2 linked regions of the Bombyx mori genome follow. The protein of the gene in region 1 interacts with the protein of each later gene in a pairwise test. Links are inferred from orthologs where the notes say so. Each region holds a gene or a part of one and is shown in the gene's direction. Other genes may lie near its edges.

Evidence for each region.
Region 2: the proteins of JNK-interacting protein 3 (region 1) and kinesin light chain interact in binary tests that used the Caenorhabditis elegans proteins (3 or more experiments, as listed by UniProt). The link is inferred for Bombyx mori from reciprocal best matches to the Caenorhabditis elegans genes unc-16 and klc-2.

What each region holds. Positions count from the first base shown.
Region 1 is NC_085107.1:5,307,946-5,325,054, reverse strand, and holds part of JNK-interacting protein 3, read left to right. Parts: intron 1-462; coding exon 463-480; intron 481-1,148; coding exon 1,149-1,366; intron 1,367-2,391; coding exon 2,392-2,517; intron 2,518-4,629; coding exon 4,630-4,754; intron 4,755-7,765; coding exon 7,766-7,928; intron 7,929-9,423; coding exon 9,424-9,572; intron 9,573-10,487; coding exon 10,488-10,639; intron 10,640-11,415; coding exon 11,416-11,570; intron 11,571-12,297; coding exon 12,298-12,453; intron 12,454-12,995; coding exon 12,996-13,109; intron 13,110-13,479; coding exon 13,480-13,645; intron 13,646-14,405; coding exon 14,406-14,598; intron 14,599-15,524; coding exon 15,525-15,685; intron 15,686-16,507; coding exon 16,508-16,668; intron 16,669-17,109. UniProt on the Caenorhabditis elegans protein: The JNK-interacting protein (JIP) group of scaffold proteins selectively mediates JNK signaling by aggregating specific components of the MAPK cascade to form a functional JNK signaling module.
Region 2 is NC_085124.1:2,404,077-2,421,185, reverse strand, and holds part of kinesin light chain, read left to right. Parts: intron 1-6,186; coding exon 6,187-6,389; intron 6,390-7,768; coding exon 7,769-7,896; intron 7,897-8,218; coding exon 8,219-8,447; intron 8,448-8,931; coding exon 8,932-9,065; intron 9,066-9,795; coding exon 9,796-9,920; intron 9,921-9,987; coding exon 9,988-10,113; intron 10,114-10,979; coding exon 10,980-11,058; intron 11,059-11,241; coding exon of another isoform or gene 11,242-11,276; exon of another isoform or gene 11,277-14,756; intron 14,757-15,888; coding exon 15,889-15,998; intron 15,999-16,401; coding exon 16,402-16,518; intron 16,519-16,524; exon of another isoform or gene 16,525-17,109. UniProt on the Caenorhabditis elegans protein: Kinesin is a microtubule-associated force-producing protein that may play a role in organelle transport. The light chain may function in coupling of cargo to the heavy chain or in the modulation of its ATPase activity.

The sequences.
Region 1 (17,109 bases):
TTTATTCATGATGATTACTTATGTGTACATAAATATATTTAAAAAAAACTATAGATATCGGGACGCATTACAAGCTAAAAGCTTTATAGTCTAGTATTATTATGTTTCTTTTTTTATATATTTAGTTTGGTGTTTTTTTTTATTATTTAAACAAATCTTTTTCTTTCTTTTATTCATCCGATCACACACTTCGCCATAATAAAATTGACACAGTTTTATTAGTATTTTTTCATTTCTACATTTATCTAATTGTAGTTGTACGAAAATTGTTTGACATGAGTTAATTTAACGCAATATATATTTTTTAATTACATTTAAATTTCTAACCGCATCTAGTGTCTAATTGGCGTAGTGTGTGAGCGGTCCCTTACCTTTTACTGTAAACTATGTAATACAACACTAATTCTGTGTTCGTTCTTTCCATGCGTTCTAACAAAAAAAAAATGCATCAACGCATTGCAGTTAACGATAACTACTTTGGTAAGTAACATGCAAACTATTTTATCGTAAACATTAAAGTTCTATATAAATTTTAACAGCTTTCTCTAATTAAATTAACATAATTATGGTCAAACAATAACATGTCCCGCTTCTGTTAGTCGTTTAACTAATAATATAATCATGGAATGTGTATTAATAATCTCACACATTACGCCGCGGCGCTGCGTGAACCGCGGCATCGCACCGGTCATTGCACAATGAGCTCATGACGTCATCAGCTATCTGTCTACCCAATACGCGTGGCTTCGTATTCCAAACGCCATAAAACCTAGTGCAAATTTAATAATATATCGAAATCCATTAAGCTTTTAAAAAAAAGGTATACTGCTTGATAACAACGTATGTTGTTGTATTGTATATGTTTTTTGTAGTATGTCCATTTCCAGTAAAAAGGCTCTGAAAGAAGCCATATAAAAAAGGTTACTGCTTCTATAACAATTACCATTAAATCGAATCGCATTAACTAATATTGTTTGATCATGCGTTGTACTAAACTAATGTATCATTTGCAATTCAGTTTGTTTATTCACGTCACGGAACATTATGTAAAGTGGTCATTTATAAACGTTCATTAAATAATTTCTAATTTTGTATTATATTATTGTTATCTGTTTACTTTTATTAATTGAATAAACGATTTCCGGAAGGCATGGGGAAAGAAGTCGAAAACTTGATACTGGAGAACAACGAATTATTGGCCACGAAGAACGCTTTGAACGTTGTCAAGGACGACCTTATAGTGAAGGTGGACGAGTTGACCGGCGAACAGGAGATGCTTCGAGAAGAAGTGGCCAATCTAAGTTCGGCGCGAGAGAAACTTAGAGATCGGGTGACTCAATTGGAGGATGAATTGCGACGTTTGAAGGTATTTATTTTTAATACGCTTTTATTAGCTTCAGACGTATGTATGTAACGGAATCTTTGAACATGATTTTGACCCCGTTCAAAACGTCGGATAAAAGTTGGACCGATGTCAATTCAATATTAAAAAAATATTGAAAAAATTTTAATTCAACTAAAAAATGAAAAATAAATAATAGTTTAAAAACAACTAACAAAATACGCTTTTATAGAAAATCCGACTAAAAAATAGAAAATAAATGTTAGTAAATTTAAATTAAAAATAGAGTAAGAAAAAATGACTTTATTGTAAAAAAAATGCGTGAGGTGCATGGTAGTTATAAATATTCTATGAACAGATATGAGTAGAAAGGTTATTTTGATAATATCCTGAAAAGCACACCACGATTTTTACAATAAAATCATTTGTTCTTACGGCGGTACTTTCATTTCTGAAACTCTTATTTAGTTTGAAGACTAATTTCTCTGACAACTAGTTGCGCGATTTTTTTCCACGTGCATTTACGGTGGTCCAGCACTTCAAATATAAGCATGCCGGTGGTTCTGACTAACGGGTAGGTGTGATCGACCACTTAGTTTGTCTTTTCTCGTCGACGTAACTTACTCCTATCAAATTTTAGGGTTTTCATAAAATTGTATATGGAGGTAAAATACCGGGTAGGTACCGCCACTCTGCCTATTTCTACTGTGAAGCAGTAATGCGTTTCGGTTTGAAGGGTGGGGCAGCCTTTGTAACTGTACTGAGACCTTAGAATTCATATCTCAAGGTGGGTGGCGATATTTACGTTGTAGATGTCTACGGGCTCCGGTGACGACTTAACATCAGGATGGCTGTGAGCTCGTCCACCCAACTATGCAATAAAAAAATAAAAAACTGGTTAACAATTATGCGCTTAAGGTTCAATATTGTCTGATGTCGACAGCTCATCTATAAGTTGCATTCTACACACTGTAGCGTTGCCTTACAATCAGTAAATTAAGTATTTCATGAAAACTTCATTTATTAATTATTGACTTTGTGATTTAAAGGAGGCGATGAGCAACAACGCCGGCGGTGGGGACAACGAGGAGGAAGCCGACGTCCCGTTGGCGCAGAGACGCCGCTTCACGCGCGTCGAGATGGCACGTGTCCTCATGGAACGTAACCAATATAAGGTACACGCAAATGCTTTAAAGTAGTTGTACCCTAAAAGATAAGACGGTCGGTGCACTCGTATCGAGGGATGCAACAGGGCCGATGTTCGAATCCCGCAGACAGGTACAATTTTTTTTGAATTTAATTTAAATAACCAACGTTATTTAGGTCATGCTCGCGAATGGCTTCCGCGATGAATGAATAACATTACGTAATAAAAATTAAACTCGTAAAAAAATAATCGTGTAAAGTACCTAATGTCTCAAGATTGGTAGGGCGATATTCACATTTCGGTGTCTAGGAGCTCCAGTAAGTGCTTAACGCTAGGTGGGCCGTGAGCTTGTACCCTATTCTAATATGTAAACCTATAAAATGGCTTCGTATAAACACAATCATTACTTTAACCAATAAGAACGGAAAGCTAGTTGTTTGACTTTGGGCGCGGAAGATAGTTTCAACGAAAGCTGACCTCGTTCTTTATCACAAATGTACAAAGTGAATGACTTTACCCAATCAGTTTTTAATATAACTATCAACCGACATGAACATGTAGTATTGTGATTTGTCTTCTATACGCCAATTCAAAGGTGACTTATAATATTTACTTACACTCCTCCTTCTCCTCGCGTCGTTTCCTCACTGCTGAGGGTCGTGACCATTATAATTCGACACGATTTTACGCCTTGTAATGTCCCGCAATTATTACTTACACATATGCCTTAAAAAAAGGTTCTAATTTGGAGCTAACGTTACTGTATGCGTTTTGTCATAAGCAATATTCCATACGAAAATATGGATTTGATTGTGAAAGACGATGTTTTTGTATACTAGTATTTTATTTATTTATGTAATGTACCATAACCTAGATGCGGCGTAATACTCGGATTACAACCCAGTTCGATAAAACTAATCAGTAATTTTAATTTAACGTAAACTAGGTCATATTTTAATTAATGTCTCTTAGGCTAAAACCCTCTGACCTTACTTGAGTGTCTATTAAGTCTAATTACTTTGTTCATCTGTTGTTTAGTGACGTCACTATCACTATAACTATTTCGAATTAGAAAAAAACACTACACTAACTCAAAAGACTTAGTATCCTATATTACAGAAAAAAAAGTTTTTACATATAGCTGTTTTTGGAATAACTTGATTCAAAAACACAATTTTTAATATTTATTTCAAAATATTGGTTACGGTCAATTTCATCACACAATAAAATGACAAATAAGAATAGGTTAGGTTTGTTTGTTCGTTGCAATACTTTTTCTATGAATGAATTTATTAAGTCAAGTATAAAAAGTCGAAGTGAACTAGTTACATAATTGACAATGCCCCCGGGAATTATCTAGCGAAGTTAAATTCATGAATAATAATAATAATAACGACGGGATCCAAATTCAGTCCCAATTTAGAATTCCCTGTGTTGTGTGTTATTATTATTACTAGTGGTCCCCCGGTAGTTGAAACTCGACGATAATTAATTGAAATTATAAGTTTGTACACTATTATGATTCTATTTTCAAAGACTATTATATTTCTTTATTCACAGATTTCGCCAAGACTACACTATAGACAAATAAATATTAACCTATTCTCAATTTCACCACAGACTCTAAGCAACAAAAGTTTGACAATAAACATAGAGTATACATATATGTGTGTTTTTATTTATTGATTTAATGTATTATTAACGCATAATTAAAAAAAAATAGCATTCTGCACTCCTTCTCTATATTCTGTATAAGTGTGGGAAATTTCATACTCATTCATCCACGCAATTTTCGTAAAAATTGATACAAAGTTTTTGCTTCACCTATTAATATATAGGTACTTATATATGTTTAAATATTTACATATATAGATAATGAACGCCTAGACAAAGAGCAAACCAACCTGTTCATCAGACTAATGTTTGAATTAATAACGTTTTTATTTTTTATTGCTTAGATGAGTGGACGAGCTCACAGCCCACCTGGTGCTAAGTGGTTACTGGAGCCCCATAGACATTTACAACGTAAATGCGCCACCCACCTTTCGAGATATAAGTTCTAAGATCTCAGTATAGTTACAACAGCTGCTCTACCCTTCAAACCTATTAAAACTAATAAGAGTTGTCGTATTTTTTAAAGGAACGATTAATGGAGCTTCAAGATGCCGTTCGCTGGACCGAGATGGTTCGTGCCAGTCGCGTGGACAACTCCATCGACAAGAAGAGCAAGCAGAGCATATGGACTTTTTTTAGTAAACTATTCAGGTACGTTCGAATCAAATTGTACGCGGAGATAAGTTTTCAGTCGTCTGAGTCCGAAGAATGTCGAAGGTGCTCCCGCGTTTGCACAGGTATTTCTTTCTCGCATTTATTAGATCACGTTTGGAGAACGACGTACTAAAGTGTAGTTTTTTCTGAACTGAATTATACTTGTGGTTCATTATTTCCTATTTATTAACCTTTCTCAGTGACAGCAGTGGACTTCGCCAGTCTGTGTGTTCTGTAGTTCTGTGAAAATGTTTTTTATAGTCTTGTTAGAAAATCAGACTAACTTTACTACTATTTTCGGTTACGATTCAAATACAGCCCGCGAATGTGAAGATGAAATTCACTAATTTAGACGAGCAGACACATGAAACGTCTGGCTTTAAGCTCATAATGAAGTCCATGGAAATTATTTAATTTATCAAATTATAAAATCTCGCAGAAGTGAATAATAGTTATGTATAAAGTAAATTGGATTTTGTCATTTTTAGGAAGGTTTATTATGTTAATGGCTAAGTATTAATAAAAATGTTATGTAATATTATGAAATGTCTTCATAAGCTGTCAGTGAGTGTAATAGAACATTCTATGAACGCTTTGTTCTGGATTTACTAAAAATCACTTAGACTATACTATGTTCGACTATAAAATAGTAGATTTTTCTAGAAATTAACAAACGGCCAGAATATTTCTTTAAATTGAAGGTCATCTACTGAACGCGTAATGTTTATACCCCGATATACCAAATCCAAATTGGATTTTTTCAGAATTTATATCTGTGCAAATGTATCGTGAAAATGTTGTTACCGCGATTCACGTTATTGAAGGAGTTCTTGTAGTTTTAATAACAGGCGCTGATCAATGAAATTAAATCTATTAAATAATATGCCCATTAACACAATCAACCTTTCTGTTAATTGTATTTCATGGCTAATTTGCGAATGTATTAAATTGTTTATACATAAAGCGAATTTATTGCTAATGCGAACTTTATACATGGTGTTACAAAAGCTGCATTATCTCTGGAAGGTATTTATGGTATCGAGAGAGTGAACGCATCTTGACATCAGAAGCCTATTTTTTTTTTTAATTGCTTATATGGTTGGACGAGCTCACAGCCCACCTGGTGTTAAGTGGTTACTGGAGCCCATAGACATCCACAACGTAAATGCGCCACCCACCTTGAGATACAAGTTGTAAGGTCTCAAGTATAGTAACGACGGCTGCCCCACCCTTCAAACCGAAACGCATCACTGCTTCACGGCAGAAATAGGCTGGGCGGTGGTACCTACCCGTGCGGACTCACAAGAGATCCTACCATCAGTAATTACGCAAATTATAATTTTGCGGGTTTCATTTTTATTACACGATGTTATTCCTTCACCGTGGAAGTCAATCGTAAACATTTGTTGAGTACGTATTTCATTTGAAAAATTGGTACCCGCCTGCGGGATTCGAACACCGGTGCATCGCTTCAACACGAATGCACCGGACGTCTTATCCGTTAGGCAACGACGACTACAAAAAATCGAAAAACCTTGAAAATTGAACTTTATTCTTTCTAATGTCAAGGCATAAAAATAAAATTATGATTTTGTATTTATATACGTAACTAGCGGATCCGACTACGTTGTCCTGTAATGCATACACATAAATTCATTCAAGCCGATCCAGCTGTTTAGTTGCAGTGTAGATAAATAACCTAAATACCGACTGCAGCGCCATCTGTCGAGCCAATTTGTGACTCTGAACCATCTAAAGCGCAACCCAAGCAAGCGAATACAAAAAAAATCATTCAAAGCCGCTTAGGAGGAGTTCAGTGACATACACATATACAGTAGAATTATATAATATATAAAGATTAGCAAATCGGTAAACGTAGTATAGGAAGTGAGTAGGATGTCCGGGCAGTAGATGGAGACTAGAGGCATATGTCCAACAGTGGACTATAATAGTCATTAATGATGTTAATGAACGTATGTAAATACGTGCTATACTTCATATGTTTGATATGACGCTGATGATTATAATGAGGCCCTGATAATGATTATAATCGCCCCTTAAAGTGTTTATTATGTGTATGTTTTTTTTGTAATTTTTTCGAGGTCTGGTATTACGAGAAGAGCCTAGTGAGCCTAGAGAGAGAATAGCTGAAAATACAATAAAAAGAGGAGAAGATTTAAAAATATTTACAAAATTATACTAGCGGTACTAGTTACATTACTGAAGGGAATTGAACCAGCGACGGTTTTGTTTTAAATAAAATCTTATTATTTATATTACATAATTAGTCAGATTAGGGTTAAATAGTCCTAGCGATTTGTCAGGTTATGTGTTTTGAATTTATGTTTAATTTTTTTAATCGAAAATTCGAATGCTTATACTTATCGCCTTGAGAACATTTCGAACTTAATGACTCTGCTTTGTAATTGATCAAGTTTGTTTTTAGATACCCTAAGACTGCCTCAAACTTTTTTCATCTCATGATTTAAATAAGAACCTTTGAAAGAAAATCTGGTTTCATATATTATTAAAGCTTTTAGTTTTCACGTGACGATTGTACAATGGTAAGTTAGCTCAGTAGATATTCAATCAATTTGTTTGTATGCTTACTGTTATTTCTCGTTGTAAAACTATTCTACTCCTAAATTCCTTTTCCTACCTTTATAACATACATTTAGTTAGTTATGCGTCTTGCGTAATTCTTTTATTTCATTTATTTTCATTTATTTTCATTAACTTTTATAGTTGATCATTAGATAATTGTAGTAATTCTTAAGCTCTAGGAAATTATATGTTTAGTGCTTCAATTTAAACGCGTCGTTGTTTGTCAATTTGAAAGTTTAGTTAATTAAATTGGAATCGCATTGCACGATCAATGTTTTAATGAATGTTTGTTAATGATGTTTTAATTTTGAGCGTGTAGCGCAGAGCGAGCTATATGTGTATTATTTTTTTGATAGACCTTAAACAGATAGGAGTTTAATGTTGTAATATTGTGGAATTTACAGTTCGAACGATCGTCCACAAAGACCGCTTTCCACTCCTCATCTAAGAGCCGTGGCCGCCTCACAGCCTACGATGAGACATTCACAAACCCAAGGCGACTTCTTGGAGGCGCAGCTTTCCGACCACCACCAGAAGCGACACGAGAGAACCGAACAATTCCGACAGGTAAGATAAACTTTTATAAGAAATGTTTAACAGATATAGACAGGCACATTTTAGTTTATTCATTGTTTTGTTGACTTTTTATTTTGTTACATTGTTATGTTGAATATGCGTAACACGAATATAAAATATATAATCAAATACGATAAACAATATTAAACTTATAAAAAACTTTTTTCGATTTAAAAAGTCAACATAACCTTGGTTGTGTTGAAAACATTAACGGCAATATTATGTTACGATATTTCTGTTTTGATACGCAGTTCTACGTTGATCAAACTTTGAAATTAGTAAAAATAATATATTATATATATATATATATATACACAATATATAATTAAATGAATAAAACTATCCAGAATATGACAGAAAAAAATTTCTATAGACAAAAAGAAATCGCTAGACCAAATGAGACAAACATAATACTTGGCCCGATTATATTTATTTTGTACTTAATATTGCTGTTTGTTATATTTCATTATTGCTTATCTTCGCTTGGTCTTTTGAATGTATTGATTGCGCTTTGGTTCCTTTCCTCATTGCATAATTTTTGTGTACATTGATTTAGATTCGAATACAGACTTCATATTCTTCTACTAGCTCGCTTTCGATTGAGTGTCGTGCCAAAGAACCTAATAATTTAGTTGCACACGTGTTTTTTAGATTATTTTACAATATTAACATTCCCATACATTGATATTGACGTTCCGTTATATCTGTGCACTGTCAGAGTCGTTGAATACGCATGCAATGTCCATATGTAGCTCTGCATCAAATTATATATTTCCTCTTACGCTCGCTTCTGTTGGTTTAATCTCTTCTTGTACGTTTTCGACGTACCTACTCGTCTTTTTATTTATTTCTTTTTACCCTTTTCCTGTACGTAATCTCCTTTACCTTTCTTTTGTTTGCAGCCAAATGAATGACGGCCTCAATTTTAAATGAATTTAATGTTCAAACGAACAGTGATATGATGAAATAGTGATGTAGGATAGTATCTTGTAAAGTGTCATTTAGCATATTTTAATTTACGTTATAACTGCTATTTTAATGTAGTTGCTTTATTCTTACGTTCGTCGTTTTGTGATGTTTGATGAAATAAAGTTGTTATTTTTAGTATTTGTGTTTTTTTATTTTTATTTTGCGCTCTTGCTATTATAATTGGCTCCACTATCTATCATGTGCCTTGTCAATTTCGTTTTGTGTTATGTAACACTATGTACACAAGTTTTGAGATGTCACTGATAACTTTTATAGCGATGTAATATACTTTAATTAAAAGAGTGTAATACCTCTTGAATTTCGAATGTTATTCATTGAATAAAACAGCCATGAATAGCGTGTCATTACCGTGTATACAGATAGAGATATAAAATAATTTGATAAACACACATGAATAAGTTGTTTTTATATTATAATTAAATCGAATTGACATGTTCTTCCTCAAGACGTTCATGTCCGTTACGATGTTGTTACCAAACCGAGTGGTGGGGTGTAGGTGCGGGTACATGTGCGTAAGGAAGACGGGCGCACGCACGCTTACGGTTGGAGTCTCCCGGGGAAGAACAGCCAGGGACAGAAGGGACCGAGCCCCTCAGCGTCCCTGTCGTCGGGGGGAGTTCCGGTACCAGTTCCGGTTTTTTGTCGGTAATGTTTTTTTTTTTGTATAGCACGCGATTTTTAATCTTATCGCAACACATAGATATGATAACGTAAATGCCGCCGTTCACATTGAGGATATGAAAGGGAAAGCCGACTTGTAACACTCGCATACTGATCGGCACAAATGATTATCTCACTTATAGACACTAGTATATTGGGTGTATAATCGATTGTTTTCTAATTGAAATAACCCAATCTGAAATAACGAAGGGAGTTATTAAGATCAAAATGTTTTTGTTTGTTTTTAACTTCGACACAATCACGTGCCCGGTTGGTAAGGTGAGTAGTCGTTATTAAAAACAATCGGAGATTTCGAACTTATGCCTCAAAATATAAGGCAGTGTCCACGTTGTTATGTCTAGAGGCTCATGTAATAATTTCATACTAGGCAGGCCATAAAGTTGCCGTACATAATTAATTATAAATTATGTCAAAGTTTTTTGACCAATTTTAATATAATTGATCGAGTTGTTAAAATTATAAAGAAATTCGATCATTTCAATCAAATTTTGATAATATATATCAAAACCAAAGTTGAAATATTGTAAAAAAAGTAGCATTTTAAATAACCCCTTTGAACTCATTTTTACAAATAACCTGTTGTTTTCTGATTTTTAACGCTTTGGTTCTGTCTTTTTTCCCTACCTATGCTGATAGCCTTAAGAGGCTATTTCAGCTTCGCCCTAACATGTAGGTGAGCTCACGGGGCTCAAACCGGAGTGGTGCTAACACTGACCCTAGCAAGAGCAGTGCTTCGTAGAATCTACCATCGGTTCGGAAACGCGACCCACTGAGAAGATCCGGCGAGAAACTCAGTGGGCTGTGTCTGTGGAAGTTCTGTCATATCTCCCTCTAGGTCTTGCATTGTAAAATTATTTAAACACAAACATTTTGTAATAGCCCGATAGCGGAGAGTGAGCCGCGTATGACTCTGCTGTGTGCGGCCGGCGTAAACCTGAACGGAGGTAGGACTCCGGATGGAGGCTGCATGATTGGTGAGAGCGTTTTCTACGCAAATGAAGACGATAAGACGGAGAACAATATGTCCTTAGGTACGTATAATAAAGTCAGTTAAGATTTGAATGGTATATCTCGGTCAAAAGTGAGACTGATTCCGTCTTGAGTTTTTTTATCGTATTTTCTAGAGTAGAGGTCGGAGGAAGTGTTTGAGATTCCGTCGTCCGTCTGCTAAGAAAGAGTAGAGGTCGCCAAGGAACCAAGCCTCTGGCATTGTGGATGTTTAAGAGTGCCCTTAACAATTTACCTTTAGTTTGGCCGTATAAAAGCGCTTTTCATTGATTGCACGAAAATCGCGCGCTTTGCTAAATATTGCTATAAAGTCTATGGTGTGGAAGTTCAAAAAGCAAGGGCCCAGAACTATTTTAAAAAAATGCATTAACGAACAGCGTCACGATAACAAAATAATATGTTTGTAATAAAATAAACTGACTTTAAACATCACCTCTCGAAGCAGGAGGTGACATTTGAAAAGTGCCTATTGGTAAAGAATAATTTTAATAATCTTGAATTAAAAATAGGATAACTAAAAATTATTTTATTGTTTGATTGTATTGAATGATTTTGTTAGTTTTTTTAAACTATTATTTATTTTTAATTTTTTAGTAGAATTTAAATTTTTTCAATGTTTTTTTAAATATTGAATTTTCATCGGTCCTTAATAAGTATACCAAATTTCGAGTTAATCCGACGTTTTGAAGGGGGTCAAAGTTATGTTTAAAGATTCTGTTACATGATAACATACATACTTCTGAAGCTAATAAAAGCGTATTAAAAATGACATAACTCTATTTCCAAAAAAAAATTACAGCCTACGAGATGAGCAAAGCGCAGTCAGCGCATTCTCCGGAGGTCGAGCAGATCAGCAGACAGCTGCAGTCAACTCAGAGCGTGGAGTACACTGAAAAGAATCTGTCCTCGTTGGTTTGGATATGTGCTAGTACACAGGCTAAAGGAGTGGTTATGGTAATTAAATTTAGATTTTAAAAAAATCATGAAATAATCGAATGTTAATACATCGTTCAATAACACACCCTTAAATTGATTCAACCATTGCTCAGAGTGTACCAATAGACATATGTATATTTATTAACGAATATTCATTTCGGATCCTCCCGATACGTTAACGGTGCTTTTAGGTACCACAAGCACCGGTTACCGTCCTTGTCGAACTCGTCGCTTGCGACGAAGGGCTCGACGAGTAAATTAACCCACAGACACAGACCATTGAGTTTCTCGCCGGATCTTCTCAGTGGGTCGCGTTTCCGATCCGGTGGTAGATTCTGCGAAGCACGGCTGTTGCTAGGGTTCGTGTTAGCAACGTCGTCAGGTTTGAGCCCCGTGAGCTCATCTACACGTTAAGGCGAAGCTGAAATGGCTTCTCAAGGCTATCAGCGTAGGTAGAGAAAAAAACGAATATTTATAATTTAATTATTAAAACGATTTATAAATTTACAATGCTCAGACTCAAATTTTTAAAAATCGAATCCTGTAACGTTTTCTTAGATGTACCCATATTCCTAATAATACATTTAAAATTATATAAACACAAATCAACGTTTCCATAGGAAGAGGGAGCTTTTAGTGGCTAAAACGTATAGCTTTTTTGTTCATTATTAGAGCATCTATCATAGGTTTCCCTTGCACTTACACCATTAAATCATATATTAAAAGTGTTCTTTATTCTGATTAGATCATCGATGCGAACAATCCGGCGGACGTGATCGAATCCTTTTCAGTGAGCGATAAGCATATTCTCTGTGTAGCTTCAGTGCCTGGTGCCACTTCAGAAGATTATCAAGATTACGAAGAACGAATGTCTGGGGACACCGAAACGAAGCGTCATTCGGTAATACTTGGCTTTGGTCTTAGTACTCGGACGCAAAATTGGATCGCATCGAACATTATACTGGTGGTAGGACCTCTTGTGAGTCCGCGCGGATAGGTACCACCACCCTGCCTATTTCTGCCGTGAAACAGTAATGCGTTTCGGTTTGAAGGGTAGGGCAGCTGTTGTAGGTAACTATACTTGAGACCTTAGAACTTATGTCTCAAGATGGGTGGCGCATTTACGTTGTAGATGTCTATGGGTTCCAGTAACCACTTAACACCAGGTGGGCTGTCAGCTCGTCCACTCATCTAAGCAATAAAAAAAAAAGCAAAATTTCAAAGTCTAACACTTTTTTCCTGCCGATTATTCTGATACTATTGACACTTTAAGCTCGTATTGTATATATTTTTGTAGTAGCTACTTTCACGCCGTGTCGTCTATTAGTGCGGGCGAACCACTGAAGAAGGTGGCAGTTTAATCTACATTAATTAAAACAACGTTTTATTTAATTTTCGAAATTGGAAGGACCCGTGTATTTAATTTGTTTTTTTTTTCGCCAGTCGTTGTTATGCGTGGGAAAGAGTGAGTCTGTGGAGAGCCAACCTAATGGCCCCGTCGAGGACACGAACACGGAGAACACTGAAAACGAAACTGTAATTGGAACTACTAAATTGGTAAATTTATTTGGTATATATGAGTCGTCTATTATCAAAGGTGGCAATCTGTGCATTTGGACAAAAAAATGTTATTGATATGTCAATACAGATTGATTTGAATATAATCGTCTCCTTCAAAGAATACGGTTCAAAACCTGCATTAAATAAAGGTTAATACTTAACCTGTTATTTATCTAAGATGTCGTTCCGAAGAGTTTTGTGACTGACCAATGGAATACAAAGACAATAATTCGTTTTTATGATTTACCAATCATTGTCCAAAAGTCAGATTGCCGGCTTTGATAATAGTCGACTCATATACGATTAATTAAAAAGCTAAGTTAAGTATAGTTACAGACAGTAATAATAAAATTCTCAATTTTCGTAGATAAAGGCAACCCTTCTAACTCCACCGAGTACTCCCGTGAAGGAGCCAGAAGAACCAGCTGCTGATAATGACGAGAATCCCAAAGAATCGATGGTCAAGAATGTTGAAGACGAAGCAGAGAACGACGGTCATGACAGTCCGCCACTAAGCTCCACTCCTAATAATGGTAAGAAAAATCTAAATATTCACCTTCACTTTTTTTTATTGCTTTGATGGGTGGACGAGCTCACAGCCCACCTGGTGTTAAGTGGTTACTGGAGCTCATAGACATCTACGACGTAAATGCGCCACCCATCTTGAGATATAAGTTCTAAGATCTCAGTATAATTACAACGGCTGCCCCACCCTTCAAACCGAAACACATTACTGCTTCACGGAAGAAATAGGCAGGGTGGTGGTACCTACCCGCGCGGACTCACAAGAGGTCCTACCACCAGAAATTACGCAATTAAAATTTGCGGGTTTGATTTTTATTACACGATGTTATTCCTTCACCGTGGTCAGTCAATCGAGAACATTTGTTGAGTACGTATTTCACTAGAAAAATTGATACCCGCCTGCGAGATTCGAACACCGGTGCATCGCTCAACACGAATGCACCGGACGTGTTATCCTTTAGGCCACGACGACTTCATTATATCGACGCTTGAAAGGCAAACGTGACTGAGCGACAATGCGTGAACTTTACAGTAAACTTATTTAAAGTTGAAATACCTGAAAAAATTATATTTTAACGAATCTAGCTGTAGGCTTGAAATGATTTTAATAGACCTAGAAATATTTTTTTTTGGGCATCGAATATGGTTATTGCCTATCATTTATGTACAAAGCAGATATTGTCGCTTAGTCACGTTTACCTTTCAAGCGTCGATGTTCATTAGTATAATTCCTTCGACCTTTGATATTTAAAAAAAATATTGTTACAGTAACGGAGCCATCGGTCAGTTCACCGGAGCCCGGATTGGACGCGTTCGCACAGGAACAATCGAACGTCGAGAACCGCGGCGATGTACCGGACCGAAAGATGTCCACCGTGATGGCGACGATGTGGCTAGGAACCAAAAACGGAAACCTATACGTACATTCCGCAATGGGAAACTACAGCAAGTGCTTGGCAAGGTACGTACATCGGATATGTTACTTTAACATAAATTGATAAATTCAATAGTAATTGAGTTATCTATATATTGATTAATATGTGAAGCAAAAACTCTGTGCCACTTTTTAGGAAAATTGCCCGGACCGAGTAGTATGAAATTTCCCACACTTATAGGGAATATATAATATTTAATAAAATTACATTTAATCAATAAATAAAAACATCACACACACTACCATGTATTTGACACAACACATACATATTATTATGTTTATTGTCAAACTTTTGTTAGTCTGCGCTCAAATTGAGAATAGATGAATATTATTTGTCTATATATGTCTTGGCGAAATCTGTGATTATAGAAGTTTCATAATAGTCTCAAACTTATAATTTCAATTAATTATAGTCGACTTTCGAGTATCTTATTCACCAGTACTATATTAATACAACAATGCCTTGTTGCTATCGCTGAACTATATTAAAATATCTATTTGTTATATGGTAAATGGCGACATGTGTAGTAGTTTAATGGTACTAAATCAGAACCTTTCTCGCGATTTTCACATTAAGTAATTGTCGACTTAAATTATCATATAATAAAAAAAGAACGTTCAAAGATACCCGAGCTACGTATCATTGTTATTGTACGTTGTATGTTTAAAAAATTATCGATTACTAGCTGTACCCGTCCGCTTCGCTGGGCATTTAAAATTAACATTAATATTTCTCACCCCCACAAAGATTCTCATCATTAACGCCCCCGCAACTGATGTAGGGAGTCCAACACTCATATAAATATTAGCCTATCCATTAAGTACATGTATTTTCTAGATGGATACCAAGTTTCAAGTCAATCGGATGTACGGTTCAGTAGTTATAACGGAACATCCGTAAAAACCACTGTAGATTTATATATTAGTATAGATGTGTATTTATTATTTAACAGGATCAAACTGAACGATGCTATATTGGCCATAGTGTCGTGTGCTTCTCGTTGCGTGGTCGCTCTCGCTGATGGAACGGTAGCTATATTTGCCCGACTTGCAGATGGACAGTGGGATTTCACTCAGTATTGGCTCATGACTCTAGGCGATTCTAAATGTTCAGGTAATTTTAATTAAACACATTTTTTTGTCAAAAATTTTTCGCTTAGAAATATTAATTGGTTTAACAACGCCATCATTAGGATGACCTTGATATTGATTAGTTTCGGTTTTGAATATCTTTAGTCCTCATAGGTCACTTTAGACGTCGTGGCCTAAAGGATAAGACGTCCGGTGCATTCGTTTTAAGCAATGCACCGGTGTTCGAATCCCGCAGGCGGGTACCAATTTTTCTAATGAAATACGTACTTAACAAATGTTCACGATCGACTTCCACGGTGAAGGAATAGCATCGTGTAATAAAAATGAAATCGCAAAATTATAATGTGTTTCGGTTTGAATAGTGGGGCAATCGTTGTAACTATACTGAGACCTTAGAACTCATATCTCAAGGTGGGTGGTGCATTTACGTTGTAGATGTCTTTGGGCTCCAGTAACTACTTAACACCAGTTAGGTCGTGAGCTCTTCCATCCATCTAAACAAAAAAAAAAAAAAATTGCCAACTTAAGCATAAGAGTTATATTGTAAATAGCTGACCCGGCAGACTTCGTAGTGCCTCAATCGATAAATAAAAGACCTAAACTTTTGTATAAACTTAAAACAAACAAAAGGAATCCGTCCGACGGGGGATTTGTATTTAATTCCGAGCATTTTCATATTTATTTACCTTTTAAACCTTCTCTGGACTTCCACAAATAATTTAAGACCAAAATTAGCCAAATCGGTCCAGCCGTTCTCGAGTTTTAGCGAGACTAACGAACTGCCTTTTTGATATATATAGATAAAGTTCAGATTTACCCATAATTATTTTGTGATTTACAACAGTGCGATGTCTCAGTGCGGTCGGCTGTACGGTTTGGTGCGGTTACCGCAACAAGGTCCAGGTGATCGATCCTCGTACGAGACAACTACTTCACACCCTCGAAGCTCATCCTAGACAAGAGAGTCAAGTGCGACAGATGGCGTGTCACGGCGATGGAGTATGGGTAAGGAATAATTGCATAAAAATGGATTGTTGCCATCGAAGAGGCTTTGAAAAAATGGGAAGAATATATTTTTTTTAGCCAAAATTTTTTGACTTCCCTGGCTATTTCTATTGGCTAAGGTTTGTGTCTTGGGACTGCGCTAATTGTGCAAAGTGCTCGTCGCCCGAGCGAAATCAACTTGCAGAATTAATTAATCGCGTAATTATTGGCGTTAGCGTATATCGTCACTCCGGACGGGCTGTCGCCATTATCTCCCTATCGGTGTCAACAGCAAAACACTCACTGATTCCAGTTTGAGTGTTAGTATAGCCGTTATACGATATAGACTTTTACCACATTTTACAAGACTGACATACACACTGACTGACTACATCGATTAACTGCAATGTCCAACCGGTTAATGAAAAATGTAATTTTTTATAAATGAAATACACATTTTTA
Region 2 (17,109 bases), on another chromosome or scaffold:
GAGCGAAGCCGCATTTAAAAGCTAATAAATTATAAGGAAATGTTTCTCGGTGAATACACGATTTTAAAAACCGAATGTCGATATCGGTGTTACCATATAAATGATATTACTTTTCTCGTTTCAATGTTGCTATTTAAATAAATCTAATAGCATTTCAACGCTCGATATGTTAATAGAAAATATAGTGCGATAGTCAGTTATGACGTATCATATTTCGAAGCGATCCACACCGACTTTACGATGTCACTATTTCAAAGACCACAGCCTTAAGGCGTGCTGCATACACTACCCTAGTTCCTTTCAATGCGTAGTGTACTGGGCTGGTAGCTTTTAAATGGAACGTCATTTAGGTCGCGCTCTACCGAAATGGGCTTTAAAACTGAAGCTTTTTTGTGTCACAGATTACATTCAATCGTACAGATTGAAAAGAAATGAGTTTTTTTTTTAATTCAGAATTTAAAATGATGATTTTTTTTATTGAAGTACTCTTTCACTGTTGCTTTTAAATCGTAATAACTTTATCAACGATTCGGAATACAGTTTCGCCGCTGAAAAGAATCGGCAAGAAAGTCAGGGTTTGCTCTTTGCCAAATTTATATAGGTACTTGACGCACAAAATTTACAATATACTGTGCAACCTTAATATAACGGTGGTAATTTACTGGTGGTAGGACCTCTTGTGAGTCCGCACGGGTAGGTACCACCACCCTGCCTATTTCTGCCGTGAAGCAGTAATGCGGTTCGGTTTGAAGGGTGGGGCAGCCGTTCTAACTATACTGAGACCTTAGAACTCAAGGTGGGTGGCGGTATTTACGTTGTAGATGTCTATGGGCTCCGATCACCACTTAACACCAGGTGCGCTGTGAGCTCGTTCACTCATGTGCGAAAAAATAAACAAAAAAAACGAACCTCAATATAACGACGTCCCCGATTAAACAAATTCGTTATCCCCTTGAATTATTCATAAGAGTCAATGTAAAATATGCCTTTACATTGCGAACAACCTCTTTATAACGAATTTTGTAAACTCAAAACCTTCATATAACGTTCCCAACAATATGACCCTTATTCCCATAGTGTGTAAATCGGTCTCGAAAGGTTTGAGAAAAAATGTTACCTACCTAATGGTTTTTAAGTAGAAAAAAACATACAGTAATTTGATAGAAATGTGTTATCATTTATTAGTAAAAGTTGATAGTAAGTTGAAAGTGATTAGTAAGATGAGTATGTAATGTTGAAGTAAATAAAATAAATTTTTTTTTTACCTCGTTATAACAAATGGTAGACCAACCTAACCTTAATATAACAAACCTCAGTTTACCGAATTGCTAGATATAACGAATATTTACTTGTTCCCTACCGATTTGTTATATCGAGGTTGCACTGTATTATTAAATAGGTACGTGCAATAAAGATGACTTGAACTTGAAGAAACTTCTGAGTTAATTATCTCTGGCACAAGATCTGTTCGTGCTGTGGCCATGTGGAGCATAAATTCTACGTACTTTCGTCATTAACATAGTCGTTAACTGTCTAATGAGCCCTCGTTATTAAATTACTTTTAAATTTAATTATGTTCTAAAGTTTTTGGTGAAATAGCCCTCGGGAATTTGTTAGGTTGCACTGTATTATTAAATAGGTACGTTCAATAAAGATGACTTGAACTTGAAGAAACTTCTGAGTTAATTATCTCTGGCACAAGATCTGTTCGTGCTGTGGCCATGTGGAGCATAAATTCTACGTACTTTCGTCATTAACATAGTCGTTAACTGTCTAATGAGCCCTCGTTATTAAATTACTTTTAAATTTAATTATGTTCTAAAGTTTTTGGTGAAATAGCCCTCGGGAATTTGTTAGGTTGCACTGTATTATTAAATAGGTACGTTCAATAAAGATGACTTGAACTTGAAGAAACTTCTGAGTTAATTATCTCTGGCACAAGATCTGTTCGTGCTGTGGCCATGTGGAGCATAAATTCTACGTACTTTCGTCATTAACATAGTCGTTAACTGTCTAATGAGCCCTCGTTATTAAATTACTTTTAAATTTAATTTTGCTCTAAAGTTTTTGGTACAATAGCCCTCGGGAATTTATTATAATAAAGTGTGTAATTGTTTTGTGGCCGTTAAACACTAACCCGACGTTTCGACCGATATACATAATGCTTCAGAAATATAAAGGTATTGTACCAAGATAGACAAGACGAAGCTAAATTAGGAGAGGACTATATTAGTACCACAGACGGAAGTTGGAAAAATTCGTGCATTTTTTTTAAATCCCTTTTTAGTGGTTTAAAAGTTCCTCCTACGTTACTGTATTTTTTTATTACATAGATGGGTGGACGAGCTCACAGCCCACCTGGTGTTAAGTGGTTACTGCAGCCCATAGACATTTACAAAGTAAATGCGCCACCCACCTTGAGATATAAGTTCTAAGGTCTCAGTATAGTTACAACGGTTGCCCCACCCTTCAGACCGAAACGCATTACTGCTTCACGGCAGAAATCAGCAGGGTGGTGGTACCTAGCCGTGCGGACTCACAAGAGGTCCTACCGCCAGTAAAAACAATTCTGCCAGACTGGCAGTGAATGGAATCTGTTGTATGGTAGATATGGATATATCAAGGTACAAATTACATTAAACAGTAGATAATAATAAAAAAGATATTACATATCAATTTACATTCTGAAGCTCCAGCGAAGTAAAATGAATTGTTAATAATTCTGTTTTTTTATGTTTGCGTGTTTCAAATCTCCAGCTAATAATAATCAACGAAATTCTTTTAAGTGGGTAATATTGTACATAAAACCGCTTCGATTACTGAACCATTTTCTGGTCGATAACATGGTAAACGGGCAAAGCTATAGCTTAAACTTTCTGAAGAAACCATGGTCATAGATGGGCACCACGAGCCCCATATTATTATAGTTTAGCAGTTTTCGATTTCTTTCCATCGTCATTGATAAGAAATTAAAATGTTTTTATTTTCGTATAAATGTTGCGTCGATATTATTGACCAACTCGCTGAGTTTCTCGCCGGATCTTCTCAGCGGGTCGTGATTCCTATCCGGTGGCAGCTTCTTTCGTGAAGCAGCTGCCCTTGAGTTGTTAGATTTTCTCCGTAGGCATTCAAGCAGCTGTTAGCAAATCTCCTCCTTCCTGGCTGAGCCTTTTCTCGCCTACCTACCTGTCCTGGCAAAAAAGGCCACTGAGCCAGGTTATCTTTCCTCTCAAAAAAAAAAAAAACTATTGACCGCTGCCATCCTGTTATTAGTACAAATAATTTTTCATAAGCCACAACTAAGGGTGACCAATTTTAGCAGCGGATCTCGACGCTTCAGCTAAACTTCATTGGTAAAAAGCTTACCACGATCATTCTAAAAAGGTTACGGTAAAAGTTCGTCTATATTTCGTAAAAATCTAACGTAATCTAACCCAAGGAGGGTTGACAGCTCGGTGCTTCAACTGTAAATAAAAACAACAAGCTATGTAGTTTTCCTTACTTCTATGTTCGTCAAGCTATAACAAACCATTCATCGGGGTTTTAAAACCAAAAAATGGAACGAACGCATCAAAAAAGATAACACTCTGAATTGAGAACCTCGTTCTCTTTTTATTTGAAGTCGGTTAATAAAAGAATTTTCGATTGACCACGACTCGTTAAACCTTACGAAAGTATTCCTTATTATAATATTAAGTTGATCATACTGAACATTAATATTTATCCAGTGACTTTTTTTTATTGCATAGATGGGTGGACGAGCTCACAGCCCACCTGGTGTTAAGTGGTTACTGGAGCCCATAGACATCTACAACGTAAATGCACCACCTACCTTGAGATATAAGTTCTAAGGTCTCAAGTATAGTTACAACGGCTGCCCCACCCTTCAAACCGAAACGCATTACTGCTTCACGGCAGAAATAGGCAGGGTGGTGGTACCTACCCGTGCGTATTCACAAGAGGTCCTACCACCAGTAATTACGCAAATTATAATTTTGCGGGTTTGATTTTTATTACACGATGTTATTCCTTCACCGTGGAAGTCAATCGTGAACATTCGTTGAGTACGTATTTCATTAGAAAAATTGGTACCTGCCTGAGATTCGAACACCGGTGCATCGCTCAACAAGTATGCACCGGACGTCTTATCCTTTAGGCCACGACGACTGTATCACGACAACCCGTTGCCATTCAAGGTTATTGTCCTTGACCTAGAGGCAAGGTCGAAATCTCTAGTGCTTGAAGATCGTACCTTCTTATGTATACTGAATTGAATACAATCAAGAGTTCGAATGGTATCCTACGTACTTTGTAATCGAAAGGTCTTAGGTTACGTCGGAATTGAACCTCATGACTCAAAGAGGTTGAGAACATTAACGTTGCGATTTCCATGAGCTCCGACAACTATTTCACAGCAAATGAGCTAAAAGGTCGTTCATTCATCCAATGCAATGGGCTCGTGTCTCTAAATGCTCAGTTTTTTAAAGAACTATAAAAAATATTTTTAAAAATCGATCGAGAATCGTTCCGTTTCCGTAATGAACCTAATTCTAGAAATATCATTGCCAACTGTCTCGCGTATCGAGTTATATTTAACAAACCCAGAGAAACAGGTCTGAGCATCGACTAAAGTTATTTGCTGTTGCTGTGCAGGAACCGAAGACGGTTTTGTTCGAATTCCCATCGAATGCTTCTGCAGCCAGCAGTTAATATATCTTATAACTTTGACAACACTCTAAGCGTCCTTCTAAGTAGATAAAATGAGTGATGTTAACCTTCATGAAATTAAACCAAAGAGAAAAAATATGGAGTTAACCCGCAAAATTATAATTTGCGTAATTACTGGTGGTAGGACCTCTTAAAAGTCCACGCGGGTAGGTACTACCCTGCCTATTTCTGCCGTGAAGCAGTAATGCGTTTCGGTTTGTTAGGCTGGGCAGCCGTTGAAACTATACTTGAGACCTTTGAACTTATATCTCAAGGTGGGTGGCACATTTACGTTGTAGATGTCTATGGGCTCCAGTAACCACTTAACACCAGGTGAGCTGTGAGGCCGTCCACCCATCTAAGCAGTAAAAATAAAAAGTTGACTGCAGTACTTAAATATTTTTGAGAAAGGATATCAAGTGAGAAAAGTTTTTACTGATACACTTCAGTATCTTATTATAATTAAAAGGTATTTCATTGGCATTTAGGGTATAATCTCGGAGGAAGTACAGGGCTGATCCTCTGATATTATTTTATCTATATTTAATAGTAGGTGAAGCAAAAACTTTGTATCCCTTTTTACGACGTAATTGCGCGGACGGAGGAGGAGTATGAAATTTTCTTCACTTATAGAGAATATAGAGAAGGAGTGCAGAATGTAAATATTTATTTAAATTATGGATTAAAAATACACATCAATAACAAGTCTTGGCGTAATCTGGGTTTTAGAGTAAAATAGTCTTCGACAATAGAACCCAAATAATGTTCAAACTTAAAATTTCAATTAATTATAGTCGAATTTCGACTACTGGGGGACCACTAGTTATACATAATTCGTCTTTTCGCATTAAAAGTGTACAATTTTCTAAAATATTGAGTTAATATGCGGAATCATTTGGTATCACCAGTATTTTTCCTATAAATACTGTCAAAAGAGCGTTTTTTTTTAGTTTACCTATTTTTTGACTACTATTGACAAAATTAATACATAATTTTATCTTACTTTAAAAGACAGATAATGCAACTGGTAAAAAATTAAAAATAAATGTAGCAAAGATGATTAATATAAAAAATATCACATGTTACACTCTCCTGTAAAATTAGTAAGTTTTGAGATTATACAATTTTAATACGAGAAGACGAATTATGCTAAGCTTTTAACCTTAGATGGGCTTTGGATAGCCTGCCGACCGAGAGGGCTGGTGGTCGTGGCGCCGACGACCGCCGGCCCGGCGTCCCGAGGGGGAGGGTGATGGGAGAGATGTGCTCCGCACTAAACGCTTCTCTTTCCCCCCTTTGCCTTTCCATAAGCTCTGTCTCATGCGAGGTTCGCATGCTGGTTGTTGAGCGACAGGAGGTTTTAGTCGCTTCGACTCCGACATGCCCCGCCCTCCATCCCCAGTGAAGGGCGAAAGTCCGGCGTTTTCCTCCTGACAAAAAAAGAAGCTTTTAACCACATTTTTATACCTTTTCCTACAGGTAATGACGGCTCTGGCATCTCACCTTCAGTCCGTCGAGGCAGAGAAGCAAAAACTCCGCACGCAGGTCCGCAGGCTGTGCCAAGAGAACGCCTGGCTGAGGGACGAGCTGGCTGCAGCTCAGCAGCACCTGCAGGCTTCCGAACAACGCGTAGCACAGCTGGAGGAGGAGAATAAGCATTTGGAGTTCATGGCTTCCATACGGTAAGACAAAAAACTAACGTACATTAAGAATTAAATCTACAAATACTTGTGACAATTTTTTTAAAGGATTTTATGACCTGGTAACTAAGACCTTTAAGTCATATCTTACTTTTTTTATATTCTTAATTATATGAAAAATGATAATATAGAGTGAAATGAAATGAAATAAAATTAAGATGATTAATTTGAGATCAACTGGGATGAAATTAAATGAAATGATATGGGATGAAATATTGACTGAGTGAATCGATTTTGATGATTCTTTTTTTTATTAGAAAGCTGACGCTCCCCGTGTGGTCCCATTTCAATTTAGTCCAGTTCTGATAATGGTACCCATGAGAAAACCATATAAGTCTTAAATTTGCATTAAGTACGTGCGCGACATAATAGATGAATAACTCAATAACTCAATATCACGCCAACCGATTTCGATGATTATTGTTTTTAGTGTATATTAAATTGTTTTGGAATATCTAAATCTAAAGCATGTCTATTTACAATTATTTAAAATTATCATCATGCTGTATGTTGCCATAGAATAACCTACCGAGCTATGGAATAAAAAAGAGAAAATACGGTTAACAAAAACTATTAAACCGTTTTGTCCTCTGCCTATTAATATAAATAAATATTCAAGAAACACTTTCAAAATGACTTCCAATTAATGGAAAAAGATTCGAGAGTACAATTATTAATGTTACCCTATGACATCATGAAGGGTAGATAATAACAAAATCAACTCTGTATCGACAAATGTCTGTCACACACAAAAGTTTTTATTCTATTATTAATATAGGTTAGCGATTAACGTATGTACGTGCCACGACGTTTAAACTCATTTATAAATTTTGTATTTGACAATTTACCGTATCTAATCCTCATGCGATACTAGAGTCGACTAGTATCAAAGCCGGCAATGTGACTTTTGGACAATTATTGGTAAATCAGAAAAACGAATTATTGACTTTGTATTCCATTGGCAGTCACAAAACTCTTCTGAACGACATCTTAGATAAATAACAGGTTAAGTATTAACCTTTATTTAATGCGGGTTTTGAACCGTATTCTTTGAAGGAGACGATTATATTCAAATCAATCTGTATTGACATATCAATAACATTTTTTTGTCCAAATGCACAGATTGCCACCTTTGATAATAGACGACTCACTAGCGCCAATTTGGACATTTCGTAAACGGTTTTTAAGTTTTAAGCATTTTGTCGGTTTAATCCTCATATTAGAAAGGTCTCCTTTATCTACCCTCCGTAGTATGGAAATGATTTTGTCTCCGACGTAAATGTCGATAATACTAACGATTTTATTATTGAGAAATATTGAAATCGAATTGATGAATGAAAGCTCATTGTGGATTGTTGCAGTAAATACGACAGCGACATAAACGAAGAGTCGGACAGTAACCGTACAGGTCAGGGCGAGAAGAAACGCGAGGACCCGATGGTCGAGCTGTTCCCTGACGATGACCACGACGACAACAGGAATAATAAATGTAAGGAACTGCTTTAAATGCTGCCTCTTCGGACGAGTCCACAGATTGTCAGTGATGCTGTGTTTGTGCCTCACGTGTCTCAAAGTGGCGGATAAGCATTCATTATGTCTATTGTAGTAACATTACTGCAGCACTGGTACAAATGAGTAATAGTCTTTACACTACACGGTCAGCTGCTGCGAGCTCTAGGCGCCGCCATATTGGTCTTGGCTGCTCTGACGAGCGCTTTTCACTTTATCCCTACTCCGCGGCCGACCGTCCCGCGACATGCAACACACAGACGAAAAAGTTTGAGAAGACGACAATGTAAACAATGTTACAGCGATGTCGCCGACGCCGCCGATGCACTTCGCCCAGCAAGTGAACGCCGGGTACGAGATCCCGGCCCGCCTGCGCACGCTCCACAACCTGGTCATACAGTACGCGTCGCAGGGCCGGTACGAGGTCGCCGTGCCCCTCTGCAAGCAAGCACTCGAAGACCTGGAGAAGACTTCGGGCCACGACCATCCCGATGTCGCCACCATGCTGAACATACTGGCTCTTGTTTACAGGTCGTCAAATGAAACTATTTTAATTTTTGCTTACAAATTCTTTTTCGCTAAATCTATGTCTGTAATAGATTTTTTTATTGCTTAGGTGGGTAAACGAGCTCACAGCCCACCTGATGTTAAGTGGTTACTGGAGCCCATAGACATTTACAACGTAAATCCGTCACCCACTTTGAGATATATGTTCTAAGGTAAGTAGTAAGGTAAGTGAGTATCTGTAATCATTTAACACCAGGTGGGCTGTGAGCTAGTCCACCCATCTAAGCAATTAAAAAAAAATGCTTGTATAATCTTCTTAATATATAATTTAAAAGGCCTGTATGTAGTCTGTGAATATCGGTTATACACAGGAGTACATTAATGATTCCTTTTACGACACCAACGGGGAGAGGTTGGGGTGGTCGGGGGAATATTCTAAGCTGACACTGCAAACTAATTGAAATTTTATTCTCTAGCATTAAAACTCATATTGTATTTGGTATTGTAGAGACCAAAACAAATACAAGGAAGCCGCCAACCTGCTGAACGACGCTCTGTCCATCCGGGAGAAGACCCTCGGCGAGAACCACCCCGCCGTGGCCGCCACGCTCAACAACCTCGCCGTGCTCTACGGGAAGCGAGGTGATGATTTCTCTACTTCTGCATCCAACGTTAGCTTGGGGGACACAAGAACTTTAACCCACTGAGTTTCTTGCCGGATCCTCTCAATGCCTTGCGATTCCGATCCGGTGGTAGATTCTGCAAAGCACTGCTCTTGCTAGAGTCAGTGTTAGCAAATTTTGTCAAGTTGAGTCCGTGAGCTCACCTACCAGTTAGGGCGTAGTTGGAAGAGCTCAACATTTCAAAATGGTTAAAGTTAAATTGTTCCCGTCATATCTTCAAGGTACATGGCAGCATTTACGTTGTAGATGTCTATGGATTCCTTGGCTCGGGGCTGTAAGCCCACCCACATAAGAAATAAATAAATAAAAATATTTTTTAAAATAAATACTACTAAAATTGTAATCTATACTAATATATAAATGTACAGTGGTTTTACGGATATTCCGTTCATAACTACTGAACCGTGCATCCGATTGAATTGAAACTTGGTATCCATGTAGAAAATACATGTACTTAATGGATAGGCTAATATTTATACAAGTGTTGGACTCCCTACACCAGTTGCAGGGGCGTTAATAATTAGGCGTCTTTATGAGGGAAATAATAATAATGTTAATTTTAAATGCCCGGCAAGGCGAACGGGTACTCTCTCTAGTAAACTAATATAATTAAAACCCTTTATACTTAATACTTGTTTTCTTACTATTAAGTTTGTTGGCGCGTGTGTAATGGATGTGTGTGGTTGCAGGCAAGTACCGCGAGGCGGAGCCGCTGTGCAAGCGCGCGCTGTGCATCCGCGAGGCCGTGCTGGGCCGCGACCACCCCGACGTCGCCAAGCAGCTCAACAACCTGGCGCTGCTCTGCCAGAACCAGGTCCGCCCCCGCCCCCAACCCCCCGCCCCGCCCCCCGACGCTCTCTCACGTCACGCGCTCGTTCCAGAACAAGTACGAGGAGGTGGAGCAGTACTACCAGCGCGCGCTCGAGATCTACGAGAGCAAGCTCGGACCCGACGACCCCAACGTTGCCAAGACCAAGAACAACCTCGCCTCCTGCTATCTCAAACAGGCGAGTACACATTTGTTTATTTACCGGTACACCGCGGCAGTGCAGCTGTGGGATTTAGTGTTCATTAGTCAATTCATTGTGTCTCCAGTGTGCTTAGTGCGAGTTTTTAACGTTCTATGCAGTTGGAACAGCGCCCCTAGCGGCAAACGTAGGCAACGTTCCAACTGCATACAAATTTGACTTAACTTTTACGCTATCGAAAACGTTAAAAAACTCGTACTAAGCACACTGGTCTGAATGTGTAGTAACTCACTCGTTCACTATTTAGTGTCTTTGAATTTGTTCAAATATAAAAAATTTAAACAAATTCCCTGAATGTTGCTTCTAGAGTTCTCCGATGTCTAAGTGACCTATACTTGAACATTATTTAATGTCATCTCATGTAACATTGTTATATCCATTTTATGTATTTTATTGTATAACTGTTTTGTAAACACTAAATCAACGCTAAACATCACTATTTACTTAAAATAATTGTAATGCGTATAGTGCTTGCTATCTTACAACAAATTAGAAATAATTTTGGATGATTTCAGATGAGTTGCGTTTTTTATTTTATTTTTATTGCATAGATGGGTTGACGACGAGCTCACGGCCCACCTGGGGTTGAGTGGTTACTGGAGCCCATAGACATCTACAACGTAAATGCGCCACCCACCTTGAGATATAAGTTCTAAGGTCTCAGTATAGTTACAACGGCTGCCCCACCCTTCAAGCCGAAACGCATTACTGCTTCACGGCAGAAATAGGCAGGGCGGTGATACCTACCCGTGCGGACTCACAAGAGGTCCTACCACCAGTAAAAACTAACACTAAAGTAGAGTAATCATTAAAGAATGTATAATATTTGGGTAATTCTTTCGCAGGGCAAATACAAGGAAGCCGAGACTCTCTACAAGCAGGTGTTGACGCGGGCTCATGAACGAGAATTCGGAACCATTGACGGTAAGTGATCATTATTCTCCAACGGTCACCTGCCAATAATTAAACTTTATAAGGTTTTTTTTTTGCCAAAAAATATTTTATTATTATTTTATAGCATATTTTGAAAATTTATATTTTTATATGAACGTAGAATGTACACATAATTCGTATTTTAGTAAAATTTATTTTCGTTTGCATTTTCAGAATATATAGCATCGTTAAAAAAACCTAAAAAATAACATAACCCAGCACCCGTAGCTATAAGCGTTCTAAGAGAACATAGAACTTAGCTAATTAATCTTTAAGGTATCGTTCCGAGGTAAAAGTGTTATGCGTGATTCAAATAAATATTTACAATGTACATATTAAATATTCACCTGTTTATATGAAATCAATTCGATGGTCATTATTTATAACGAGTTATACGTTCTATTTCCTACATTCCCAACTCGACTGATTGCTAAAGTCTTACCGAATAAGAAATTGAATATATTTTAGTATACGAACATTTTTCAACGTGCAATATTCATATATAAAGGAAAAAGAATGACTTATAAAACTGTGCCTTAATAACATAATGAATATATTAAATATAATAAATGCTGAAGATTTCTTATCTTGAATTCCTTGAGAAACAAGTTTCTTTACAATTTTCTGTTCATGTGTTAGTCCGGGGTAAGCTGCTACCTTTTATTCACTTTAAATCCAGTGGTTTGAATGAATTTGTGTCTAAACTAAAGCTGCTTTCAGATTACGCTATACCAGCAGTCGGGGAACAGGGGTAAAATGAAATTTTGGGGGGTAAAAATGAAACTTTTGTGAGTAAAATGTTTATATTGAAGTGAAACTTCTTTAGAATCGTTGTGATTTCAAACTCGATGAAACGAAATGAAACGAAACGAAAAAATAATATATTTTTTCAAAATTATCATGGGGGCTATAATATGAAAGACGCTAAAAAGAAGCGATTTCGTTTTTTTTTTGTTCTTCGCCATGGGTTAATTACACAAAAATATTTTGGGGTAATAAGTAAAAAAGTTCCGCGACCGCTCCGCTGTACTATAGTGCCATATAGTATAGCAGCGTATATTACGCCAATAATATATAGTACAGTACAGTGTGAACATGTCCATAACAATGTATGGTGTGCGATATTGTTGTGCTATGAGCTATATACTACATGCTATTATATTATAGCGTAGTCTGAAAGCGGCTTAAAGTGAAAACATTATGAGAAAATTCAAAAAAATTTTTTTAATCATGACTACATATCGAGGTGTTAAGGTTATTTGGTTTAAGTGACATTTTTGGAACGAAGTTCCTTACGGCAGGCTTGGAGGGATAGGGATTTTGCTGCGCGACCGAACTGAAAAAAATGTGATAGTAAAACCGTAAGAAAAAATCCGTGGAAAAAAGTGCGTGGAATAAAACCGTTATATGAGACGTGCGCAGGCGCGACAGTCGCATACACAAGCGAGTAGTGTATAATACCTTTCTCTTTCTCCCTCTTTCTTTTCGTTCTCTCGTCCATTCTCTTTCTATTTTACGTAATTTATTATTTCCTAAAATACTGAATTTCCTAAATACTTTCCTATACTTAAATAAAAACTAATCAGCAAAATTTAAGAGAAAAATCAAGAAAACCTACATAAAATTGAGTACGATTTTTTTTTTGCAAATTGTGTCGATTCTACATTAGCCGAAGGAACTTCGTTCCTACCTGGTGTCCCACGATACCACATTTTAATTTTGAAAATTTACAGAAGAGTCATTTAAAGTTTAAATTTGGAAAAATATCATAACAAAAAATACCTTCTTCAGCTATTTGAATAATGGAGTAAACTAAATTGAAGTTCAATTAAAAACATCGAACTGTGGATGCTAATCTCTATATATAAAAATGAATTTCTGTTCGTTAGTCTCGCTAAAACTCGCGAACGGCTGGAGCGATTTGGCTAATTTTGGTCTTGAATAATTTGTGGAATTCCAGAGAAGGTTTAAAAGGTTAGATAAATATGAAAATGCTCGGAATTAAATAAAAATAACAATTTTGTTTTTCCTTTGATGTGTCCCCTGTCGGTCTTTTATTTATCGATTGAGGCACTACGAAGTCTGCCGGGTCAGCTAGTACCAAATAAAACCCACGTTTAATTACAAGATAAATTTCACTTAAATCAAATAGCCTTTTACCCCTGGATATTTACTTTCTGCGTAAAAGGTACCCAAAATAAATACTATGACTGCGAGCGAAGCCACGTTTAAAAGCTAATAAATTATAAGGAAACGCTTCTCGGTGAATACACGATTTTAAAAACAGGGTGTCGATAGCGGTGTTACCACATAAATGATATTATTTTTTCTCGTTTCAATGTTGCTATATTTTATTCTTGAATCCGTTCGCGCTATGCATTTATTTATTTATTGTATACAATTATTTTAGGTAGATAGGTAGCTGTCGTTCGATAAGAAATTATAAGAAAATACAAAAAAAGAGGCTATAGATGTAAACTGATGTTGCTATTTCAATGTTAGACTTATGAGTTCTGTCTGTGTTATGAGATCTCTTATGTGCATTTGTTAGTTTTTCTTGCTTTTATAATTATTTAATGTGCTACCGTCTTTCATGTATAGGATAATTTTTTTTATTATTGTTACACGGTGTTGCCAACATTACAGATAAACGTGTGAAATGCAATGAAATGTGTGAGCTATTATCTGAAACTCCTATTATGTTATAAACTTGTCGCTTAGAAAAATCATTGGAGTATATTGTTTAAATAATTTATTTCATATATTCTCTAATATAAAGAAGGAATGAATTTTCGGACCGTACTACGTGATGATATAAATGAGATATGTACTTAATGTAAGAATAGTTAGAGATGAACTTTGTTTTTAACTAACTCACCGTTGCTAGGTTCCGCAATAGAAATAATTTGTTTTCCAATCCCGCAATGTAACGCAATGTAACTTGGCGAATGTGAAATATTCAATCCTCAGAACTGTGACGAGGATCTCCCTCCTGACTACTATTGATCACTTATCAATTTTATAGCTTCAGGTAATAAGTGTTATTTCGTCTCTACCGTCTTTTTTAAAGAAAGACGATTAGTTAGATTTCTGTAGTATGCGTTAATGTTTGAGAACTAGAAATAGAAATGAAAGTGTCGCTCGTTCAAGAGCTTGTTATTTAGTAGCAAAAATACAAGCTTCTTTTCGAAAAATTTGTAGAAAATGGTGCGCAGTAAATTATCTCTCATCGGGTTTTTTTTTTGTTCTGTCGAAATAAACGAAATTTTGTTAAAACTAAATATTATTTATTCATGATTCTGAATTCAATTATCATACATTACATAATATTTTTTTATTAAATTTGAGATAATGTATTAATGAAATAAATTTCTCAAAGACTTATATCGCTTTTAAGAAGCTATTAAATTTCGATGATGAAACGCTTGCCATATTTCATTTAAAAAAAAAACTGTTATGTAAATAAATATGAAATATCGTGATGTTTTTTTTAATGTTTTGAAAATATTTTATTTGCTTCGTTGCTTAAGACCACCGTTTATTTTATGTATCAGTTTATTTGTTGAAACCAAAATGCTTTGCCAAAAAAAATATTCGCTGAATTTTTTGTATGTAAATTTTATTAAATAAAAAATATTGTTGATTTAATATTTAACTAAATATGTTTATTAAACGGTTGTATTATTATAGTCTGTTGTTTTGTTTGCTCAATAATGCTTTTTATTTTCTTGTTGTGATATAGGATAACGAAAATATATATTTTTTGCCATGTTTTTAGATAAGCAATTTTCTGGAAATGTAAAGAAAAAGTGTTTTTTTGTGAAACATGTGTGCGCTCAATAATGGATTGATAAAAATATGACATTAGGTAAGTGACACAAGTTTGGATTTGTGTGTGGCACAGGTAGGAAAGGCTGTATGGATGTAGATTCTTTTACTTTTTTTTTTTTTGTTTGTTTTTTATTTGTTTATGTTGTAAACGTCAGCTGTTGCCAATTGTGTCACACCTTCCCGACTTGTGTCACATATAGTTTGTAATCTGTTTTTATAACACAGGGTGATGGATACTTTGATGGCCTTTTGATTGTAGTATGAACTAGCCTTTATGTATTAATATGTAAGAAATAGGAGGAGGGAAATAAGATGAATTACATCAAAATTTAATCTTCAGTATCTGAATAAAGATTTGGTACACTAATTTAGTCTGGAAGAAGAAGAAAGGTTATGGCGGGTAGAATAATTGTATTAATATCTTAATAAAAGGATCATGTGGTTGCATTAATTTTATACTACTTCGCTCTTAACCACAGTAGTGTTACTAATTTGTAATTAATGAAATTTCTATTTACTATTCAATTAATGTTAATTCTGAAAACGTTTTATTTCAAGCATCCGTAAATTAATTATTATTAGTATCAAATATCGTCTTCTCGCATTAAAACTGTATAATCTAAAAACTTACTAATTTTACAGGAGAGTGTTTTAAAAGTTTAACATGTGATATTTTTAATATTAATCATCTTTGCAACATTAATTTTTTATTTTTTACCAGTTACATAGTCTTTTAAAGTAAGATACAATTATGTATTAATTTTGTTAATAGCAGTCAAAACATAGGTACACTAAAAAAACTAAAACTACATTACGCTCTTTTGACAGTATTTATGAGAAAAATACTGATGATACCAAATGATTCCTCATATTAACTCAATTTCGAATATTTTTGGGAATTGTACACTTTTAATGCGAAAAGTCAATCTATATGTCGTTTTTGTACTGGTATATATTTGACGTCTGTCATTAACTGGTGTCTGTTGACAGGTGACAATAAGCCCATCTGGCAAGTGGCGGAGGAGCGCGAGGAGAACAAGCACTTGCAGAAGGAGAACGCCCCGTACGGCGAGTACGGAGGCTGGCACAAGGCCGCCAAGGTACGCCATACCATGATACCATCATACCATACCTCTTTACTGGTGGTAGGACCTCTTGTGAGTCCGCACGGGTGGGTACCACCGCCCTGCCTATTTCTGCCGTGAAGCAGTAATGCGTTTCGGTTTGAAGGGTGGGGCAGCCGCTGTACTGTCGCAACTGAGATCTTAGAACCTTTGTCTCAAGATGGGTGGCGGTATATACGCTGTTGTTGCTTACGGACTCCGACTGACCGTGAACTCGTCGTGAATTTTTTTTATTGTTTAGATGGGTGGACGAGCTCACAGTCCATCTAGTGTTAAGCGGTTATTGGAGCCTATAGACATCTACAACGTTCAGATTGAGTTCTAAGGTCTCAGTATAGTTAGATAGACTTAGAGCTAACTGTAGGGCGTGGTGCCGCAGGTGGACTCTCCGACAGTGACCACAACGCTGAAGAACCTGGGCGCGCTGTACCGGCGCCAGGGCAAGTACGAGGCCGCCGAGACCCTCGAGGACTGCGCCCTTCGGAGCCGGAAAGAGGTACAGCACACTCGACTACCTTCTAGTCAAAAAACGGTGCGCGTGCAACTAGGGGCACGTGAATGAAGTGAAACTTCTTTTTCGATGTGTAGTACCTATTGTGGTTTTCTTCATTTTTCATCCTTAAATCAGATTGGCTCTTGTAATAGGGAATGCTGTGTATAAGAGATGCGACATCTTCAATATTTAAATTTTATATTTATAGAAAAATAAATATATAATATATTTAAATACTTCATTAAAATATTGGGCGCTACTCGTTGCTAACGCTCGCGCTGTAACAGATATACTACGCGCACGCGTTCGAGTGCCACGCATACACTCTCGCTCTGTCTCTTTCAATTCCCCCTCCCAAGGAGCGTTGAACGTTTAACGCAACCTTGTATGAAGTCGCATTAGAAGTTTCACTTCAAAACTACTATTTAAAATAAAACAGAGCACGATACAGTCATTGCGTTTGTAAACAAGGAAAAAATGTATTTAGAGGATTGACTTTAGGTCTAAGGAATGTATTGATTTATTGAGAGGTTTAGCTGAATACGTAATTAGTGGAAAAACACGTTTTGATGGTAACAAAAGAATAGTCTTTTG